Linked DNA regions of Drosophila melanogaster. The protein of the gene in region 1 interacts with the protein of each later gene in a pairwise test. Each region holds a gene or a part of one and is shown in the gene's direction. Other genes may lie near its edges.

The links.
Region 2: the proteins of CG30122 (region 1) and CG5674 interact in a two-hybrid assay, tested with the Drosophila melanogaster proteins (one large-scale study listed by BioGRID).
Region 3: the proteins of CG30122 (region 1) and CG3294 interact in a two-hybrid assay, tested with the Drosophila melanogaster proteins (one large-scale study listed by BioGRID).
Region 4: the proteins of CG30122 (region 1) and fan interact in a two-hybrid assay, tested with the Drosophila melanogaster proteins (one large-scale study listed by BioGRID).

The regions. Positions count from the first base shown.
Region 1 is NT_033778.4:18,633,228-18,641,060, reverse strand, and holds the start of CG30122 (uncharacterized protein), read left to right. Parts: upstream 1-1,790; 5' UTR 1,791-2,100; coding exon 2,101-2,242; intron 2,243-2,443; coding exon 2,444-3,214; intron 3,215-3,321; coding exon 3,322-4,173; intron 4,174-4,239; coding exon 4,240-4,721; intron 4,722-4,789; coding exon 4,790-4,918; intron 4,919-6,119; coding exon 6,120-6,291; intron 6,292-6,775; coding exon 6,776-7,635; intron 7,636-7,697; coding exon 7,698-7,833. Other genes in the region: CheA56a (chemosensory protein A 56a), read right to left, coding at 259-747, 814-867.
Region 2 is NT_033779.5:17,961,777-17,966,378, forward strand, and holds the start of CG5674 (uncharacterized protein), read left to right. Parts: upstream 1-1,602; 5' UTR 1,603-1,769; coding exon 1,770-1,829; intron 1,830-2,367; coding exon of another isoform or gene 2,368-2,673; intron 2,674-2,732; coding exon of another isoform or gene 2,733-4,111; intron 4,112-4,172; coding exon of another isoform or gene 4,173-4,602. Other genes in the region: btv (beethoven), read right to left, coding at 959-1,240, 2,368-2,673, 2,733-4,111, 4,173-4,602.
Region 3 is NT_033779.5:4,792,799-4,797,128, forward strand, and holds CG3294 (uncharacterized protein), read left to right. Parts: upstream 1-1,859; 5' UTR 1,860-1,873; coding exon 1,874-1,887; intron 1,888-1,954; coding exon 1,955-2,773; intron 2,774-3,044; coding exon 3,045-3,148; coding exon of another isoform or gene 3,149-3,156; exon of another isoform or gene 3,157-3,177; intron 3,178-3,264; coding exon 3,265-3,421; intron 3,422-3,488; coding exon 3,489-3,765; 3' UTR 3,766-3,783; downstream 3,784-4,330. Other genes in the region: fipi (factor of interpulse interval), read right to left, coding at 840-882; slf (schlaff), read right to left, coding at 4,278-4,330.
Region 4 is NT_037436.4:8,107,478-8,110,551, forward strand, and holds fan (farinelli), read left to right. Parts: upstream 1-1,654; 5' UTR 1,655-1,800; coding exon 1,801-2,457; 3' UTR 2,458-2,566; downstream 2,567-3,074. Other genes in the region: Sarm (sterile alpha and armadillo motif), read left to right, coding at 1,162-1,246; Nulp1 (nuclear localized protein 1), read left to right, coding at 3,022-3,074.

The DNA.
Region 1 (7,833 bases):
TATTTATGTGAACCCCATTAAAGAACCTATTACTATTTAAAAGAGATTCTTAGCTAAATATATATGCGCATATTCCGTGTAAACGAAACGAAACAATTTCGAATGCAATCATTTTAGCTGTAACTATAAACTGTAATCAAAAATGTAAGAAGAAAAATATATAAAAATGGCTTGGCTATACATACACACACACACAGAGAAATAATTGAGTTTTCATTTATGCCATATATTTTTTCGTGGTATTATAAATTTTTAAGACTATGTGATGATTTCTGCTATACTAATTGTTAACTGAACTCCACCAACACATTCGCCATTTTTTAGATACGAAATGGTGAATCTGTTAAGACCTTTAAAGACAATGGGTGGCCAATCTTCGGTAGAAACAACGCCGTTTTTCACAAAATATGTACCCTTTCGAAAAGGACACATTTCAGCACCGGTAGTGGGTAAATTCGATTCGGTCGATTTTACTAGGAAAAAGGAAATGTAGTAGCGATTGAAAAATTCGCAGGGTTTGCTGGCGGCGGCGTTCACGATTCCCTTGACCCAATATCCATTTTTAAATGCGTGGGATTCGAAAAGGACGTCGAACGTTTCGTCCAAGTCTTCTAAGAAAATAAGAGTTCCATTTATCATGCGGTTTCTACCGAGCAATCGTAGCTGGTATAGAAAAAGGGTTTCGGTACTTCCTTTTACGGCATCTATCGACTCAAAGCGGACTTCATAGTTGCTTTTTTTTGATCCCTAAAAATTAAAAATAAATATATTATTGCCACAAATTTCTTTATTGATTATTTTATTTATTCTTACCACTGACACTGTCCACAGGATCAAAAGGCTTTGTATCATCCACCAAAAAGACATATTCCTGAATTTAAACGCTCCAATTGCGAAATTTTGGATTGTGCATCTTTAACTTATAGATTTTATAGCGACATGAGTATGGCATGTCGATAAAATATATTTCAAATTTAATTATAAGTGAGTGTTAATGAGCACTTGTTCTGCTGAAGGGGCATGGCCACAATCGATGTTACAAAAGTTAGGAAGTTAGGATGTTATAACAAGTTAGGAAAATGGTATAATATAAAAAACATGCAGTTTTTCGTAATAAGTATATTAGCAACGCTGCGTATTAAGTTAGTTTTATTTCAGCATTACATTTTATTAATCAACCTTAAACTATTTTAGCAATTTATAGAAATGACCCAATGGATTTGCAATCCAAGCTTATATTGAAGGTAAGACATCTAGTATTTAAGCATCGGTGGTTCAGTGGTAGAATGCTCGCCTGCCACGCGGGCGGCCCGGGTTCGATTCCCGGCCGATGCAAATTTTGTATACTGTTTTTTTTTTTTGAAATCTTAAATTCGTATTTATTTTATATAGTTTGCAAACTAAAAATAATGAAAAAAAAACATCAATTGCTTGACCCCGACGTGATTTGAACACGCAACCTTCCGATCTGGAGTCGGACGCGCTACCGTTGCGCCACGGAGTCGTTGTTAATGCCTGTGCCAAACAGCCATTATACCTAAAGTCAATTTACGAAAAACACTTTGTTATGCAGGTTTTAATACTATTAATTATGTTTTGAAATAAACATTGACTTTGCCTATTAATTTTTATTGATATAGTATTTACTACAAATCATTCAATCATTAAATATTTTCTTGCAGCGCACATGCAAACGGTTGATGCACACAAGCGCCTTCTATCGCTAGTGATGTTCAGCCTGTTATCGATAGCCACCAAGCACAAGTATCGAACCCAAGCACGGTAGCTCTACGTTTTCGTTTTCCCAATCGCAGCCAACTTCACTTCAACGCGTTCGGTATAATATTTAGGTCCATTTATTTATTCGCAACAAATGCGAATGTAAAAACGAATATTGCGTTTTAATTGTGCGCGCACGGTGCTAGCAACCATTGCGACTTGACTACGGTGACATTTCCAGTGTGGGTGTCATTTGCCAGACAGCGTGATTTGGCCCGAAATTCCCCCAATTCAGTTTTTCACATCGCCAGCTTTTCAGCGGTGCACATTGAGTGAATAAGCGTGTGTGTTTCTGCCGCCAATCCAAATTGAAGCGCAAGAATGGATGTGGCGAAGCTGGAGAAGATGAAGGTGGTGGACCTGCGCAACGAGCTCCAGTCGCGCGGCCTGGACACCAAAGGAGTCAAAGCGGTGCTCGTCGAGCGCCTGAGGGCATATGTGGAAGGAGGAGCCGGCGACGGTGGTAAGTTTGTGTGTATGCGTCATTTGACCGCCCGATTGTTCCAGTGTGTATGTGTGTGGGTGTCACTGTGTGCGTGTGCTTTGCCGCGTCCAAGTCATGCTTGTGTTTCGGTTTCTGTTTGTGTGCGACTGAGCGTGAGTTAGTTGTAAGTTTTCCTTATATAATGATAAAGTAATCACATTTCACTTTTCCCGCGTCCAGAAAATGCGCCGGTCACACCAAGCCGCCGTCAGCGTCGCACGCGCTCTATGTCCCGCTCTCCATCGCCGGTGCAAGCTGCTCCCGTGGCCGCAGAACCAGTGCTCGATACTCTCGAAGAGGAGGAGCAGCCGGAGGATAAGACAGTGCCACAGCCAGAACCAGAAAGTGAACAGCCAGCAGCCGAGCCGGAACCAGAACAAAGTGAGCCGGAGGAAGCTGAGCCAGCTGCAGCAGTGACAGAGGACACAACCGTCAACCAAGCGGTCAATGAGGAGTCGCAGCCTGAGCCCGAAGAGTTTGATGAAAAGTCGGAGACAGACGACAAGCAGGAGACAATCGAAGAGGCAGTACCCGCCGTCGTACCACAGAATGAAGTGGCTGATGAACCCATGGAAGAGGATCATGATGCTGCCCCTGAGGAGCAGGAACCTACACAAACTGAGGAGCCTGTAGAGGAGAAACCAGCCGAGAGCACTGTGGCCGAGCATCAGTCAAATGGCGACAGCCAGAAAATGGACGTTGATGAGGAGGATTCGGCCGCCCCGAAAACGGCGGAGGAGACCGAGCCAGCAGCTAAGCCTGAGGATCAGCCCCCGGAACGCCGCAAGCGATCACACAGTCGGTCCAAATCCCGATCGCGCAGTGGCTCCCGCTCGTCCAAACATCGCGGCAGCGTAGGTGACAAGCGTGAGTCAAAGGCAGCGGCCGAGGAACGCACAGTTCCTGAGGACGAGCCAACCATCGAGGAGAACAAAGTCGGATTGAGCTGGCGTAAGTAGACTTGCTGTTTGCAACGAATTCGATACACACATTCCTTAACGTTCAAAGCTTGATCCATCATTCACAGTAACTAATATCCCTTTGTTTTTATATTCCAGTGGACTCTGACTTGCATTTACGCATCGACCCAACCACGTTTGCATCGGCCAAACCCCTGACATCGGAAATTTACTCGCTTATTTGGTCCGGAGCCCGCGCAAACTACGGAGTGCGCGAAGGCAAAGTGTGCTTTGAGGTGCGCCTTTCCGAGGAGTCGGTGCCGGAGAACTCGCACTACTTCCGCGATGAGCCGCATGTGCGAGGATTCCGCGTGGGATTTTCAATGCCCAAGAGCTCCTTGTTGCTAGGCGAGGCCGAGCATTCATTTGGCTATTGCGAGACCGGGCGTAAGGCTACTCAGAGCGAGTTTACCGATTACGGCAAGCCTTACCAGCTGGATGACGTTATCGGCTGCTATTTAGATCTGGAAAGTGAGCCGTGCACAATTAACTACACTCTGAACGGCGAGGATCTTGGAGTTGCGTTCGAGTTTGAGAAGAGCATACTGGGCGAGGAGGGAGCCCTGTTTCCGCACATCGTTACCAAGGGCTACGAATACTTAGTGAATTTCTCTGACACCGAGCAGCTGTTGGTGAATGCCGAGAGGCCCACGCGCAAGCGCCGCAAGCCACGTAAAGACGAAGACAAGGATAAGGACGACGATAAGGATGACAACGATGGCGAGAAGTGGAAGGTCTTGGACGAAGCCACGGCGGATGATGATGAGGTGGAGAAAAAGGATGAAGATGGCAAGGCTTCTTCGGAGAAAGATGAAGAGGAAGCCGAAGATCCTGAAAAAGCCAAAGAGGATGAGGCGGCGCCAAAAACGGAAACAGAAGCCGAAACTAAAGTCGAGGCTCCTGCTGAAGCTGCTAAGCCCGAATCAGAAGCTACCGAGGCTTCGGAAACTGGTGAGTAATGATTGATTGAAAATCAGTTATCCCACAAAATGCTAATATTTTGGGTTTTCCTTTTAGCTGAAACTTCTACCGAAAAGTCGTCAGAAACTGCAGCTGTGTCAAATGGTGATGCTGCTGCAGAACAGGCAAACGATGAAAAGGCATCTGAGGATAAGAAACCCTCCGAAAACAATGATGAAGAAGATGAGGATGGCCCCTCGCCGAACAAGCGACCCAAAACCGATGGAGATTCGGAAAAGGCTGAATCCGAAAAGGAAAAGGACAGGTCGCAGACGACCGAAGATGAGTACGAGGATGTCGTGCCCGAGCCAAGGGATACAGCTGCCCTGCTGGAAGGCTATGTATTGATCGGCTTAGTACCTGTCGAAAAGCTGGTTTCCGGTCCACAACGCGTCGGATCTCGCAAGGAGTGCGAAGTCATTTTACTGGTTGGCTTGCCAGGAGCCGGAAAGACCCATTGGGCCCATAAGCATGTGGCCGAGAATGCTGACAAGCGTTACGAGTTGATTGGACCCGACGCATTCATTTCAAAGATGACAGTAAGTTGGTTAATAAATGTACATAGCTAGGCGCTGAAGATATTCAGTACTGACCAATATATTTGCAGATCGATGGCGCCTCTCGCAAGACTGTGCACAAAGGTCGATGGGACAAGGTGTACGAGATATGCTTAAATAGCTTGGCGGCTCTGGAAGATATTGCCATGAAGCGGCGTCGAAATTTCATACTTGATCAGGTAAACCATTAACAAATGACCTACATACACCCGAAACAAAACACCAGCCCACAAACACACAAGATTACACTATGAACGAACGATAACCAAACACAAAACGAAACAAGCGAGAATTATACGTTGATGATGACTTTGGCGCCCACCCAACACACTGGGGCTCTGATCCCCTCGGGATTGAGGGGTTCCACCAGCGGGGCACAGCAATGTTGCGCTATATATTTTTTAATTGTACATTTGAGTATGCATTTTTTTTTTGCTCATCGCTCTAACTTAATAGAGTGCCCAAGTGCCCCTAGAAGGGGCACCAACGTGCAGGTATGTCCTAATTGTAAGTCGATCCGATAATTAGAGTGCTTAAGTTTGAGGCAGTAAGTATCTGTGGACTTCCCATTAGCTTAAGTTTTACGTGCAGGCGCAACAGTTGACGGGGCAGTTAAGAGGGAATTGTAAGAAAAGTGGGGATGGAAGTGGATATGGATATGGAAATGGCATTGGAGAAAGATGAGTGAGTGTAATGGAATGGAGTGAAGTAAAGTATGGAAGAAGGAGGAGGAGGAGGAGCGAGCGGCATGGATGCCACTGTAAGTAGACAAACACAAATCCGATCGACGAGTCGTTCGCCTACAATCTAATCACATATACGTATTAGTACCTACTATCTCTACTCTATCTCTCTCTCTAAATGCCAACTATTCTCATATATATGTATGTGTATCTACAGAAAGCTATGCGATGCTTCATCCTACAGCCAGCAGCACAGCCAACCGCGACTACTTTTCCCCCATAGTACATTCTGTTATCCTTATGCAAAGTATTAAGTCAACTGTTGTTAGATGTGGCCGGGTTAACATTAACCCGTCGCCGCCCCCTAGGTATTATGTTGGTGTGCGCGCACCGCTTCCGTAAGGCCCCGCTCCCTTGCCGGCGGAGTGTGGGCGGGAAGTGGGTGTCCCGCCGTGCAACAGGTATGTGTTAGATTATAAGCGCTGAAAGCAAGCGAGCTCAATGCGAGTTGGGTTCGATCCCGGTAGACCGAGGTCTCCAACCGAGCCGTATCATCAACGTGTTTCTCAAGTTCGACGACTGTCCCAACAACAACCAAACCAAATCCAACCAAACAACAACTGGCAGACAAAATCTGAACCCAATTCAACCAAACAACACCAACCAACCAACCGATCAACCAACTGTATTCTTGTAGACCAATGTGTATGCCTCGGCCCAGCGACGTAAAATGAAGGGTTTTAACGACTTCAAGCGAATTGCGGTCGTTTGCATACCCAGCGAAGATGAATTGAAACGTCGCATCGCCGAAAAAGAGGAAAAGGGAAATGCTTTTACAGTTAAAGAATCAACAATTAATAATTTACGAGGTAAATATTATCCACCACACCAAAGCAACGAATTGAAAAAAAAAATCCAGAATAATGTACGATCGTATAACTTATTATTCTACCTATCTAAATAAGGAGGCATTCTTGTTAAAATGAAAAACATTATAAAAACTTATGTAACGTATTTAGTTTGTAAGCAGCTGCACTTTATGTATCTATACGTAATTGTAACTGTAAGCCCTTCAAAATATCTCATAATTTGATTATTATTATTACCATTATTCATTAACATTTATTCTATAACAACCCCCACTTGGCAACTGGAACGTATAAAGGATGGACTTTATTCACAACTGGATTTCTTGAAAATCGAAATTTTTGCGCCCTTTTACGTTCGGTTGCCAAAGTTGATCCCTTCTTTCCCTCTATACTCCATCTACAATAATTCCTAATCTGTAATGATAATGAGCGATTTTAGCAATTGTGCAGCCTTATTGATGATGTACACGCAATCTTTTTCCAGCCAACTTCACACTTCCCTCGCTGGAGTTTGGCTGGTTCGATGATATAAACTACACGGAGCTGACTGGTGACGAGGCCAAGAGCGAGGTCAAGAAGTACAACGAGAAGGGCAAAAAGGCCATTGACGCGGAGAGGTCGCGTGACAAGAGATCCCGAGGAAGTCGCGACAACTATCGTCGTGATGACCGGAACCGGAATCGATACAATGATGACCGACGTCGTGATTATGGCGGCCAGCGGCACGAAAGTCGTTGGAGCGACTCCCGCAGGGGAGGCGGCGGTGGCGGTTACTCCAGCAATAGTGGTGGAGGCGGCAGTCGTGGCTACGACAATCGCCGCAACTACAACAGCGGTAGCGGTGGCCAGCAAAATTGGGTGCAGAACAGCCGCAGAAGCGGGTACGATGATCGCGGCTATGGTGGCGGTGGAAGCGGCAGTCGTGGATACGACAATCGCAACCGTGGATACGCAGGCGGCAGCGGTGGTGGTGGCGGCGGCGGCGGTGGTGGTGGTGGTGGTGGTGGTCAGCAAAACTGGATGCAGAACAACCGCAGAAGTGGGTATGACGACCGCGGCTACGGCAGCTCGCGGGACTATCGCGATCGAGACCGTGGCAACGACCGCAGTCGAATGGGCAGTAACGACCGGAACCGGGGCAGCAGCCAGAGTAGCTATCGCTCGGGAGGTGGTACTCATCAACAACGGGATTTTCGGCCTGGCCACCGCGACACCAAAGAAGATAGTCGCGGTGGCTATGAGCGGTCAGCTGGTCAATCGCTACCCAAGTATGGCAATAACACCGCTGTAGGCGGTGGCTACGATCAGTACAAGCAACAAGGTGGAGCACCTGGCGGAGGCAAGGTAAGTGTGCGACCAAATCCTCGACGCATGACAGCTGGCTAAGATCTCGATCGTTCCTGTAGGCCTCCCTTAGCGGCAAGTGGAGTACGTACAGTCAACACCATCAGCAACAGCAGGCGCCGCAGCATCAACAAACGGGCATCTGGCAGACTCAGCAGCAGTCACAACAATACCAACAACCTCAGCAAGCAGCGGCGG
Region 2 (4,602 bases), on another chromosome or scaffold:
TAAACTGTTCTTCCTTGTAGCTAATTGGATTTGAAGTTCGGAGCGGAGTTTATGTATCTTTTGATATACACATTCACTTTATATCCTTACTCAATTACCTTTTCAGCCTTATCGCGCTGCCTAATTCCTTAATCCGCAACTAAATTTCCATTTGAAGCGTAATAAATTATTTATTCTCAATAGCCGACAGCACAACAAGTTGGGAAAGGCGTACAACAAAATCTGAGAAGTCTGCATAGCTAAATTTGCAAAATGTGTTAACAAACTGCCACGCCCACCGATACGAGGCACTGTGATTTGTGCGGAGGGCAATTTATATGCCACAGAAGCCGGCTGCCACGCCCCCTTCTCGGTACCGGGAGGCACTTTACACTCAAATTGTGTTAATTTGCATATTGGAAACTTTTGCCTAATTGAACATAATGCCACTTAATTAAAGTTAAGACAAGTTTTTGACGGTAAAATGGTTTTGGGCCTGGGGGATGTCGGGGATGTCTTGGCAACTAAAAGTATGCCCGACATTTATGGCAGTTTGTTGTTGAAATTTACGGCAATTAGTTTAATATGAGCAGATTATGAGGGACACAGGACGCAATAAAATCCCTTCGGCGGTGGCAAATTAATTTTTAGGGGCATCCCCGAATAAACACAGACACTGAGACATATGGAAATCAATTAGCTCTTCAGAGTCTAAGTCCTCGCCTTAAATGTTTAATGGCCCATTTTTATGTTTGCCTTTGGCTGCCTAATTGTTAGTTGTTTAAATATTTACTTAGAATTAGTTGGGACCCAAATGACAGCGTGTCAAGGGTAGGAAACTAATGTTAAAAGAGTTTCGTTTGGTTTTTATTTAATATTTGCGAAGGTGAATTGCTATTCAAGTGTCAGTCCAACACATTCTTCGCTTCTCTACATATATATTTGAAATATATTGGTATAAAATAATATTGAGTGGTGTTTAATAATCTTCGACTATTAGCGCTGTTCCGGCCAAGAGAATTTGTTCCGCAGTTCCGGTCACAATATCAACATTTAGGTGGCAAATCAATTTGTCGCGACTGCTCCGAGAATATAATGGGAGTTTGGGCTTCGATTCAGCATTTTGCGTGGAATATAGCGAATTTTTGCCGTATTTTGAGGAACTAGTAGTCGTATGACTGACATTTTGTACTTCGTCTTTTATTTTGTACTTGATGTAGAAGGGGTTCGATTTTCCCATTCCACTCTGGGCGCCATCAATCTGTAATGGAAAATGAATAGTGCCAAGTTTAGTTACTAATGAAATACTTAGATATATTCCACATTACATATATTCACAATTGCTAAAAACAAAAAAAAAGGCGAAAAGCGGGTAGATGATTTGCAAAGTTTATTCTCCAAGTCCTAAAATGTATATACAAAAAAATAGTTATTTGTTTTTTTACAGTGTTAGTTCTAGCAGGTACACCCATCAGGGCATAGCGGATGCACTCCCCATAGTCAGCTTCCAAACCGATTATCGATTGGCATCGAATACGTAGATATACAAACGAGAAGGGAAAGTAAAATGTAAGTTTGTGCTCAGAACTGCTTATCGATAGGCATCGGACAAGGTGCCATCTCTAATTCCCCCTCTTGTACCGGAATGTCAATCAAATGAAAACAAAAAAAGCGGCGTGAGAAAACTGAAAAGAACGGGCATCCAGTGCACATTTCAAGCTTAATTTCGATGCATTGAACGGCGGCGGCGCACCGAAAACAGGAGGCGCAGGATTACGGATACGGAAGCTATGGAAACGGCCAGAATGGAGACGGCGATGGAGACACATTTTATGGCCAAAATGGGGAAGGTGAGGAACAAAGACAAGAAGCAAACGGGCAAGAGGGAGAGAAGATGTCATCAGTCTTCGTCCCAAAAGATAAATAAGTATCTTTTGGGATTTTGGATTGGGGGAATCAATTTGGACTATGGATGTATGCATATCTACTATCCAGGTAATCCGTAACAGAGTATTGTTACTGTTACTACTACTACGTGTGCATCCAATTGTATCTGATATAGCAACCTGGCAAAATGTATCCCAAAATTATTTCTCAATGTTTATTGTATTTACTGTAACGCTTCTCGAGGGCTTATGATATTTAATGGTTATCCCCAACTTAACCAATGCGCCATCTACCGCGAATATTATAGTTATGGCAATTTCTTGGCTGATTATCCTGCGATTAGTTAAATTTCCTTTTATGGCTTCGAAATATATTCTTAGTCGCTAAAGAAGAAGACATAGAAGACATAACCCCTTGAATCATGAGTAAGTGGCTTGCTGAATTTGATTTCACAACTTGATGTCAAAACATTATCGGTTAAAGATACTAATTCTTACTCACCTTTAGCGGCGCCAGCTTGAGTATTATGTCCGAAGAATCACTTTCCAAGTTTGAGGAGCCGCAAGTTTGCAACTCCAGGCGTTCGGTGGAAACTGCCAGTTTTCGAGACTGCAGCAGCTTTAAACAGGACAACAGGTTCTCACAGTTAAACACCTGGACGAAATTGATATCCTCTACAAAATCCAGATGCATTTGCTCCCGGAATCGAAGTTCGGCAGCCTGGGCTCGAACGATTAGGGCTCTTAAAAAGTCCACGGCACTGTTGCTGCCAGGTCCAGGCCATAGTTTAAGCCAACTGGCAGGAATCTATGAATTTCAGTTTATTATGCATTTTCAAGTTACGTTACTGTACCCCAGTTTCTTACCTGCTGTTCTGCCAGAGTTCTCAGAGTGCTGCCATCCACCTCCTGCGACTCCTTAAGCCAGGCATGCATCTGCGACAAAGTCTGGTGAACTATGCCGTAGAGATCCGCCCCTAGTTTCAGTTCAGCCAGCACAAAAAGTGCCCAGGGAGATTCACCCACATCAGTTTTTGCCTCCTTCATAGTCTGGATTATGGTACACGAAGCCGCCAACTTTCTCCATAGATTCAGTAGGGGTTTAATTTGCTGTTCCAGCTTCTGACGACCAGTGAGCTGATCGTTTCCCTTAGACTCTCCTGCTCCTCCAGAATCCTTAGCCAAGCCTCTTCCGTAATGCAATCCCCTGAGTTCCTTTATCACTCTTTTGGCCTGTTCAATTTCGCGTTGCTGTTGTGCCTGATTGGCCAAACCATACATACTGGGCTCATCTGTGTCAGGAAGTTTCTCCAATGCAGCGTAGTAGTCCTGCAGTTGACCGCTAGTTGGTATGGATAGAGATAATCCAAGAGGTGACCAACGATTGCTTAAGACGTCCGCTGAACAAAACTGGTTCAGATAGGTTGTGAGTATCTCCAGATCCCTCTGATTATTTACTCTTCCGCCATAAGCGAGGGCTTCACTGAGACGTTGCATCAGCAACCAATCGCATTTTCCTGAATTAAGTTGCTGATCCATCATTCTTAGGATACCCAGAGCCGCTTTTAGATCTGCCTCACCGAATTCATAGTATTTTGACCAACCTTGTGGTATAAACTGTCGCCTTTGTTGAAGCACAGCTGTTAGGACAAAATAAACCAGTCTCATCTTGAGGCTCTTTGGTTGGTTTTTAAGCTTTTGATCCTGTTCAGCAGCGAAGTTCTGGAGCAAACGCATCACAATCTGCTTTAGTCCCTTAGGCTGCTCATAACGTACTTTAAGGCATTTATAAATGGCAGCTTCGGAAAATCCCTCGGTTGATTCGCACAATAGCCACAATCGAAAGTCTTTCGATTTTTGAATTTCACTTAATTCCCTTTCCATTTGAGTTAGAAATTCCGGCACCAAATGGACATTCTTAACGCATAACCAGTGGCCATCTATGGCAGCCTGACGCATTTCGGAGAGAACTCTTTTCTCAACACCTTTTCCAATAGCCATTTCTCTATACTTTTGATTGGCCCACTTTCTCAATTCAGTTGTTGGATCATTTTCCGCATGACTAACCATCAAAATCGGGCGATCACAGCTGCTCTGCTGCAGCAACTGCTCCACAGAAGGTTGGGTGGAGGCATCTGGGGAAATTCCCAGCAGATCGCTACTCACTTTTCGCAGTTGGTGAAGCATCAAGTCGGGTCGGAAAATCTGAGCAATAAGCACACGCTGGAAGCTGGACCCCAACGCAGCTGTAAGTTCGAAAATAAATCTGAATAAGATGAAATTAACTAAATTATTTCTACAACTTACGTAGCACATCATCCGCTTGAGCCTCAATGAATCCGCGCCAGATATAGTCCTTCTCCAACTGGAGCTTGCTTCGCAAATCTGGGAACAATTGGAGTAACATAGCCAGCTTTAATTGCGCTTCCTTGGGCATGCAGTCGGGCAGTTTTCCAAGCTGACTTAGCACCATACTGCCATCAGAACTACCCATGAAATTGTTCACAAACAGCTCCCACTCCTTGGGGTTTAATCTATCGGGATATGCCTGATGACAAACCCACAAGGATAAGGATAGCTGGCTATCTCTAGAAGTAGCTCTAGCTAAATTCATATAAACACTTCGTACAAGACAATCATAGACCTTGGACTCATCTCGTTGACTTTTGGAAAGAGCCCCCAAAAATAGTTCAATGTAAACAAGAGGGGATAATTCATAGCCCTGGATGAGGCCTGC
Region 3 (4,330 bases), on another chromosome or scaffold:
GAAAATGCCATTCAAGTGCGACTTAACACCCCTCAGACAGCTTTTAGGCAGTGAAAATTGATCGAAAGACTAAGAGCAAACATCGTTGACTGACAGCGACTTCAAAAAATCCAACAGAAAGCAGTGAGAACAGCGCAAAAGGGCTGCAAAGCGGCAAGATACTTTCCCAGTATCTTCGAGATACTTCAGCGAAATGTGCAACAATGTGCCAGCATCGATTTTCTATTAGCCACGAGACACTTGAGCCACAAAACTAAATACAGAGGGCAAATATTGATAAATACGTAACGACACGACGACGACGAGGAAGACGGAAAACCACAACAACCACATTATGAATACTACTAAAGCTCGTAACTGTCCATCGACCAGACAAGAACATAATAAACACCGTTCATGGGTCCGAAAATAAAACGCAGAACGTAACTCGGAAGAGGTCGCCACATCCTCATCCCCATCCACATCCCCTCCAGAACTCGATGACCACCTCAGCCAATGTAACACTAGAGCAACAAATGCGGTCAAATCGTTTATTATTGAAAATTAAATGCCCCTTTTAGGCGTACAGAAAAAAATTGTAAGTAAAGAACATATTGTTTTAATTTGCGATATATGTTCTTCTTTCTTTAAGTTTATATTTAAGTTATTTAATTGCATTTCAATAAGTGATGGTTACAAAAATCTACTATTACAACTAATATAGCATCTATGGATTGATAGCATCAAATCCAAAAATATTGTTTTCTAAATATCCCTTAATTGCTAGCTTTAGAATCAGGCTATTTTATGTATTTAGATAACATTTGTTTTCTTTTTCTCCCAGTGTAAGAACCACTTACCTGTTAGGGCTGCCAAATTCAGAATAAATCCAATTAGCCGCATTGCGAGAATCTCAACGAATATGAATTTGAATTCCTGTGGTTACTACACAAAAAACCGTGAATATGCTTGCGACCTGATTACGAGTTCAAAGTGCCAGCGGCGCGAATTATTTCATTTATCTAATATCAAGTTGTGCCGCGAGAATTCACATCAATTGTTTTGACTTAGTTTCGCACAACTCAGTTGGTTTTCCGTGAGCCAAGCTCGGCGATTCGGCGCTTGAGCCGGAGTCCAAATTCCGGACTTCGGATTTCGGAGCCGAGCGCAAAAGGAGAGCTCAGAGAGAAAGCCAGGAGAAAGGCTTTCTCTGGCGACACGAAGTGTAGGTGAACCGACGCGCACGAATTTTACTTTATCACTGAATTTGATTTTTTTTCGCATCTTCGGCAATCGCCGGACACAATGTTGCTGGCAACATTGTTGCAGAGGGGAATTTTCGAGTTCGAAAGTTTCTGGTTCGATGGAAGGGGGAATTGAGAAAAAGCTTGAATAAACGGTTCAATTCAAAATATACAAATCTGATAAACAAGAAAATATTCAAACTAAGCGCTTCTATTAAATTTTAAAAGCTCTTCGACACAGTGCTATAAAAATCACATAACATAATTTATAGCAGTGTAAGTTGAACTGAGGCTTTTGGCATTGTGCTATACAGCAATGTTATTTTACATTTTATAGCAAGAACGAAACTTGGTGTTATATTAGACTGTTATAATTTATAATAAATTTTGAATTACAAAAATCGTAAGAATTCGTAAATTTTAAACATTTATGATATGAAATCTTAATTTTGAGGGAAAACTTACAAAACATTTTTGATTTGCCAGATTTATGAAAACTTTGAAAAATATGTAAATGTAAAAATGTAATTTTTTTCGTGCTGCAGTATTTTGTGGTATTTTTCATAGACCCTGTACACGGTATTAATCAGCTGTGTTCTCACAAATGCGTTTCAGCTGCTCACCGAAATTCAATGTTTTGATTTTGCGAAATGCCGGGAAGGAAGTAAATAACTATAAATTTGTTTAAATATAATGTATAATTTAATTTAATGTATATAATTTATACAAAGGGCACGGCGAAAGTTAATCAAGAAGCAGCAGAGGAAGCGGCGTCGTCAAAAACATGCCAAAGAACGTGATAAACTGGAGGAAGAGGCGGAAAACCAAAGACTTATGCAGCCGGAGTACCAGAAATGGTCGCAGGAACAGGAGGAAATGCAGGAATTCCAACGACTAGCCGACGAACGGGAGCGCCAGTTGGCGGAGGAGTCCTGGCTGCGACGCGAAGCCACAGCGCAGCGACAATTCCAAATGGACGAGGCGAAGAAGCGTCAGGAGCAGGAGGAAGTGGAGCGTTTGCAGCGGGAACAGGCGAAAGAGCGGGCGGAACGGGAGGAGAGACAGCGGAAGCAGCGCGAGGAAGAGACACGAAAAGCCGCCAAGGCTGCCGCCGAATTCGATGCCATGATGGAGAGCATGGATGAGTATCTGAACAACCCGCGTATCGAGAAGCCACCCAGCCACCTTCTGCGTGTAATGGAGACGCATCCGGAGGAACGAGCCTGCGAGTTCTTTAGCCGCACCAACTGTTGCCGCTACGGTCACGCCTGCACCTTCAACCATCGCCGCCCGATGCTGGGAAGGATCCTTCTCATCCGGCACTTCTTCAACCATTCCATGCTGCAGAAGCGATGCACGCACAAGGAGTACGCCTCGGCGGAGGAACACCTGGAATTGACCGAACAGGATCTGCGCCACGACTACGATGAGTTCTTCAACGATGTCGTCGAAGAACTGAGAAAGTTCGGCACCATTGTCAACTTCCGCACGGTGCGCAATACGCTGGAACACCTCAGGGGTCACGTCTTTGTGGAGTACACAAACGAACGGTTTGTCTGAGAGTATTAATTATCATTATTATTATTTAATTAATATGACATTGTTTATATGCAAGCAATTCGGATATTCAAATGCAGCCTATTTCCCAGCATTTTCATGTAAAAGTTAATTCATATAATTCACAATTTTAATTTATACCTGTTCTCTCGCCAAAAAATATATATATTGTATTGTCTCTGCGCTTGCATACTTTTATGTTATGTTAATAATGTCTAAAGAGGTCATAAACTAATTATTATAAAGCGTACGTCATGATTTCAGATCTGCACTTCGCGCATTTACCAATCTCCAAGGTCGCTACTACGCCTCCAAGCGACTAAACGTGGAGTTCTCCAATCTGAGGACCTGGCGCGGCGCAGTCTGCGGTACGTGAACTGCATGCCAAGAGGAAGCCGTATCCTTTAAAAAACCAAAACTCAAAGCAAGCCCATTCATATGTTTTAATACCATTTTCTTTAACACAATCTGTGACTTCTTAAAGGTTTGTCCTTAACACGTAAATGTCCCAAAGGTAACGACTGCGGCTATCTGCACCTGTTTGGCAATCCGAACAACCTGTTCAACACGGAACTGGAGTACACCAGCGGTCCACGCAGTGAACGACGCTCCAGCCAAACTCCAACGGCCAAGACACCCAGGTGGATTTAAATATAATATTAGTTTATATTCCGGCAAACTATTTAAATACTTTCCCTATCTCTTCAGTTGGGATGAGCACAGCGAGCACGGCAGGAACTGGCGCTGGTCGGCAAGCCCCGAGGTTGAACTGGAAAACTCCAAGGACTTGGGCAACCGAGGTCGGGATCTCAAAAACAACCAACAGCGGAATCATCATTCCAGGTCAAGAAGTGACCGGAGTTCCGTGCGCTCTAAAAGAGAGCACAGCTCCTCGGGATCTTCACATGACGATCGCAGATCAAAGAGGCATCATCATCATCACAACTCCACAACACCCGATCATCAGCACAACCATTGCCAATAAAAACCAAAGTATTAATTCAAGTGTTTTCTTTTTTATGGGATCTTTACAAAATTTTATTCAATCTCTTTGTGGACAAAACATGAGTGTCTCAAACAAAATACTAAAGAGATTCCGAATTTCTTGCTTGAATGACAGACAGTGGGTCAGAGCGAAACACTTGCAATTTAGGATTGCCTATAAATATTTAAGGTGCGATCTGAAAACGACTCAACTGTTTACAACGGAATAGAATTCTACGCGTAAAATTGGCAGTTTCGAAGGTAGGGAGGAAGGAGAAGTGAGACTAAGTGCTGGGTGCTAAGGTGTGATGAAAGCAGTATTGTGGATTTGGTGGGTGGGTGGTTTTGTGGTGTTTGTAGGATCGGAAATTGTAAATTCTAAAGTCTATTTGTCTTGCTTTCTTCCGTTTTCGTCGTACACATACAAACAAAAATTATACAAAAACTCGTTTAAGGAATATTATAATAAGTAGCTTTAAAATTAGGCAAACAGCGAACGCCCAGCGAGCCGCTCTATAGACGGATGCCGGGATTCGTGGCCGCCACATAGCGCAGCAGCTCCTCGT
Region 4 (3,074 bases), on another chromosome or scaffold:
TGATTAGTTGTTGATTTTGATAATTATTTTTTTATTGAAAAATAAGTAAGCGAATTTAAATTGCGAAAACTAATTTATGAAAAGAAAAATACAATTAACGACTGCATAAATACGAAACCTAATTTATAGAACACAAAACAGAAACCATCTAATTCTAAACACTACAAGAAACAAAAATATATTGGAGAGCGAAAACACTCTATATTTAAAATGCTATTTATAAATAATATGTTTAAAAATTTGTACATTTTTCGCGAATGCAACATGTTCTTGTAACCGTCCGCAAAACGTAAACTAAAAATTGCAAAATTTAAAATTAACCCGTGTGGCTTAAAACGAAAATATTTACATAAGTGATATTTAAACTACGTATAATCGAAATTTACTTAATGCAAAATTTTTACAACAAAACATGCTGTACAAACCTAATTTTTAGCGCAGGAGTTTTTAAGGCATATTTTTATTGATTTTTGCAATATATATTTAATATTTAAATAGTGCCTAAAGTTAAATACGAAAGCCGAAAAAATCGAAATACATACAAAAAAAAAAGGAAATAAAATGTGACTTAATTCAAACTAAATGTGTATTATTGGCCCTATTTAGCCCTGTTCCCCTGCTTAATCAGTCCATACTATATCATCAATCGCATGTACCGATATTATACGTTTTGTTCAATGTTTGTATTGCGTTCTGCATTTGAATTTGTGTTTGTGCCTTTAATGGAATTCGAAATGTTTTATTTGTATATATCTTATCACTTTTATTTCTTCCCTCTTTCTTTCTCTATATCCGGACTTTTTTGTAGACCATAAAAGCGAAATTGGCTACCGCAATCCGTTGTAACTGTTGTTATCGTTGTGCCTGTTGTACTGCCCCCGCCCACAAAAGCACCCACCCACCAAATCGAATCGATTTCGATTTCGAAAAACCCATCATCGCACACCGTGAGATTAATACGATGCCTACACTCAGCATCCGCCGTCTCGACAACCAACATTCATTGTTATTTATTACCAAGCAAGCAACAAAAAAAAGAAAGAAAGCAATCAAAGCAAATAGCGATACCAATAAACGTGTATATAATTGCATAAATCGAAAGAGTCCTGTCAAACATTTTTTAATTTGTATCTTACCCATACCTCCTCCCACTCGAAACAGCAACGAAATGGAGGACGAGGAACTTTCGGGCATCATTCTGTCCAAGGCCACCTCCCCCAATGCCGGGCGCATGATATTTTGGTAAATGATGGACCATCCCCCACCTGACACACATTCAGTCACACAAACGTATCGAATTTTTGTAAATATTTAATAAAACAAAAAACAAATAAAACGAACGATCTGAAACTCGAAATCATGTTGTTATCTAAACATCTTGAACTTACAAATACAAAAAACTACAATTTGCAAAAGTTCTAAAAAGTTTTTGAACATTATTTAAAGACAGGTTTGTATATAATTTATGAAATTAGCCTAAAATATAGCTTTTAAGACATTCCTTTAAGCAACATAAGCTAATAGCTGCAATCTATAATAGTGATGCTGCGCATATGACTTTCAAAACCGACCAGTGTGTCCACACCAGAAAAGTTGAATTCATACGAAATCAAGCAATATGTGAACTCAATTCAGCCCTGAAATGGAAAGTTTCACATTCCTTTTTCTGTCATTTGCACTACGGCATTGTCAGGGAACGTGTTCATTTGGTACCACATTTTTTCATATATTGGTCATAATCGGTTCCAGTTCATATCGCTTCCGATTTTTTGAAAAATAAAAAGGTACAAATATTCCAATATGTCCGACAATACCGAGAGCAAACTTGCGCTAGACCCGTGCGATGTGATCGTCTTTGAGGGACCATTCAACCGCTCGGTGAGCAGGAAGCTAGTCATCAAGAACACCAGTAAGACCCAGCGAATGGCCTTCAAGATGAAGACCACCACTCCAAAACTTTTTTATGTACGCCCCAACATCGGTGTCTTGGGGCCCGAGCAGAAGGTCAGCGTTGACATATTCATGCAGCCAATTCTGCAGGAGCAGATAAAGAAGCGTCATAAGTTCCTTCTCCTGGCCGCCGAGGTGACTGGTGACATAAGCGATGTGCAGGAGTTTTGGAAGATGCAGAACCCGAATGAAACTCGGGAAACCAAGATCAAATGTGAGCTAGTCCCTTCGAAGGAGGACGATTTCCGTCAGGCGGGAGGTTCAGCTGTAATATCCACGGACAACAAGGACGGAGAGGTCCATTTTGATGCCCAGGAAGTCAGTGAGCCAATGGCCAAGTTGCTCAAGCAAGTCAGCATGCTGGAGGACGAGCATATGGCCCTCACAGACCAGATCGACGGCTTGCGTGACCAGGCGATTGGGCGCACTTTCTTCTACATGGCCGCCATAGTAATCATTATACTGTCCGCTGTCGCAGGCGCCTATTATGGCAAGACTCGTTTGTAAATTCCTTATCATGGCAGTTTTTAGAACATAAGGCAGTAAATTGCACCGAAATTGTACGAAAATTATTTGTCAATAAAGGACATTTTGGTTGCATATTCTATTTTGAGATAGATAATTAGTTTATGCTTGTATACCAATAAATGCGTAAGATGTTATATTCTCACTTTACTAGAAGTAAATAAGTTTAAAATAGGAAATGTCGAATAAAAATAAATTTTTTCAAAACAATTTAAAATGCTTTTTCCTATTTCACTTTATGAAGAGACAAAAAGTAAACTTATTAAAATTTCTGTGAATAACACGTCAAGTTTGATCCAACTTCTACAGGCAAGGCGTATAGGTGTATAGCACTTGCTAAAATTTAGAACTTCTTTTTCAATTCCCGCCAAGACGGGACCACCTGTCTAGGCCAGTGCTGTGAAGCGCGCGTGGCCACAGAGCTCGGCAACCCTGCAGCCGTGCGAAAGCGAATGTGGTGAAGAAAAAAAAAACAGCGAAATACACACGTATTTTGCGACGAAATTAAATAGAATTCCTGCTAAGGGGTATAAGGACACTTGAAGGATGTCTGCGCGAATGCTGAAGAAGCTGCAGGGCGACGCTGACAAGCTGGCGCC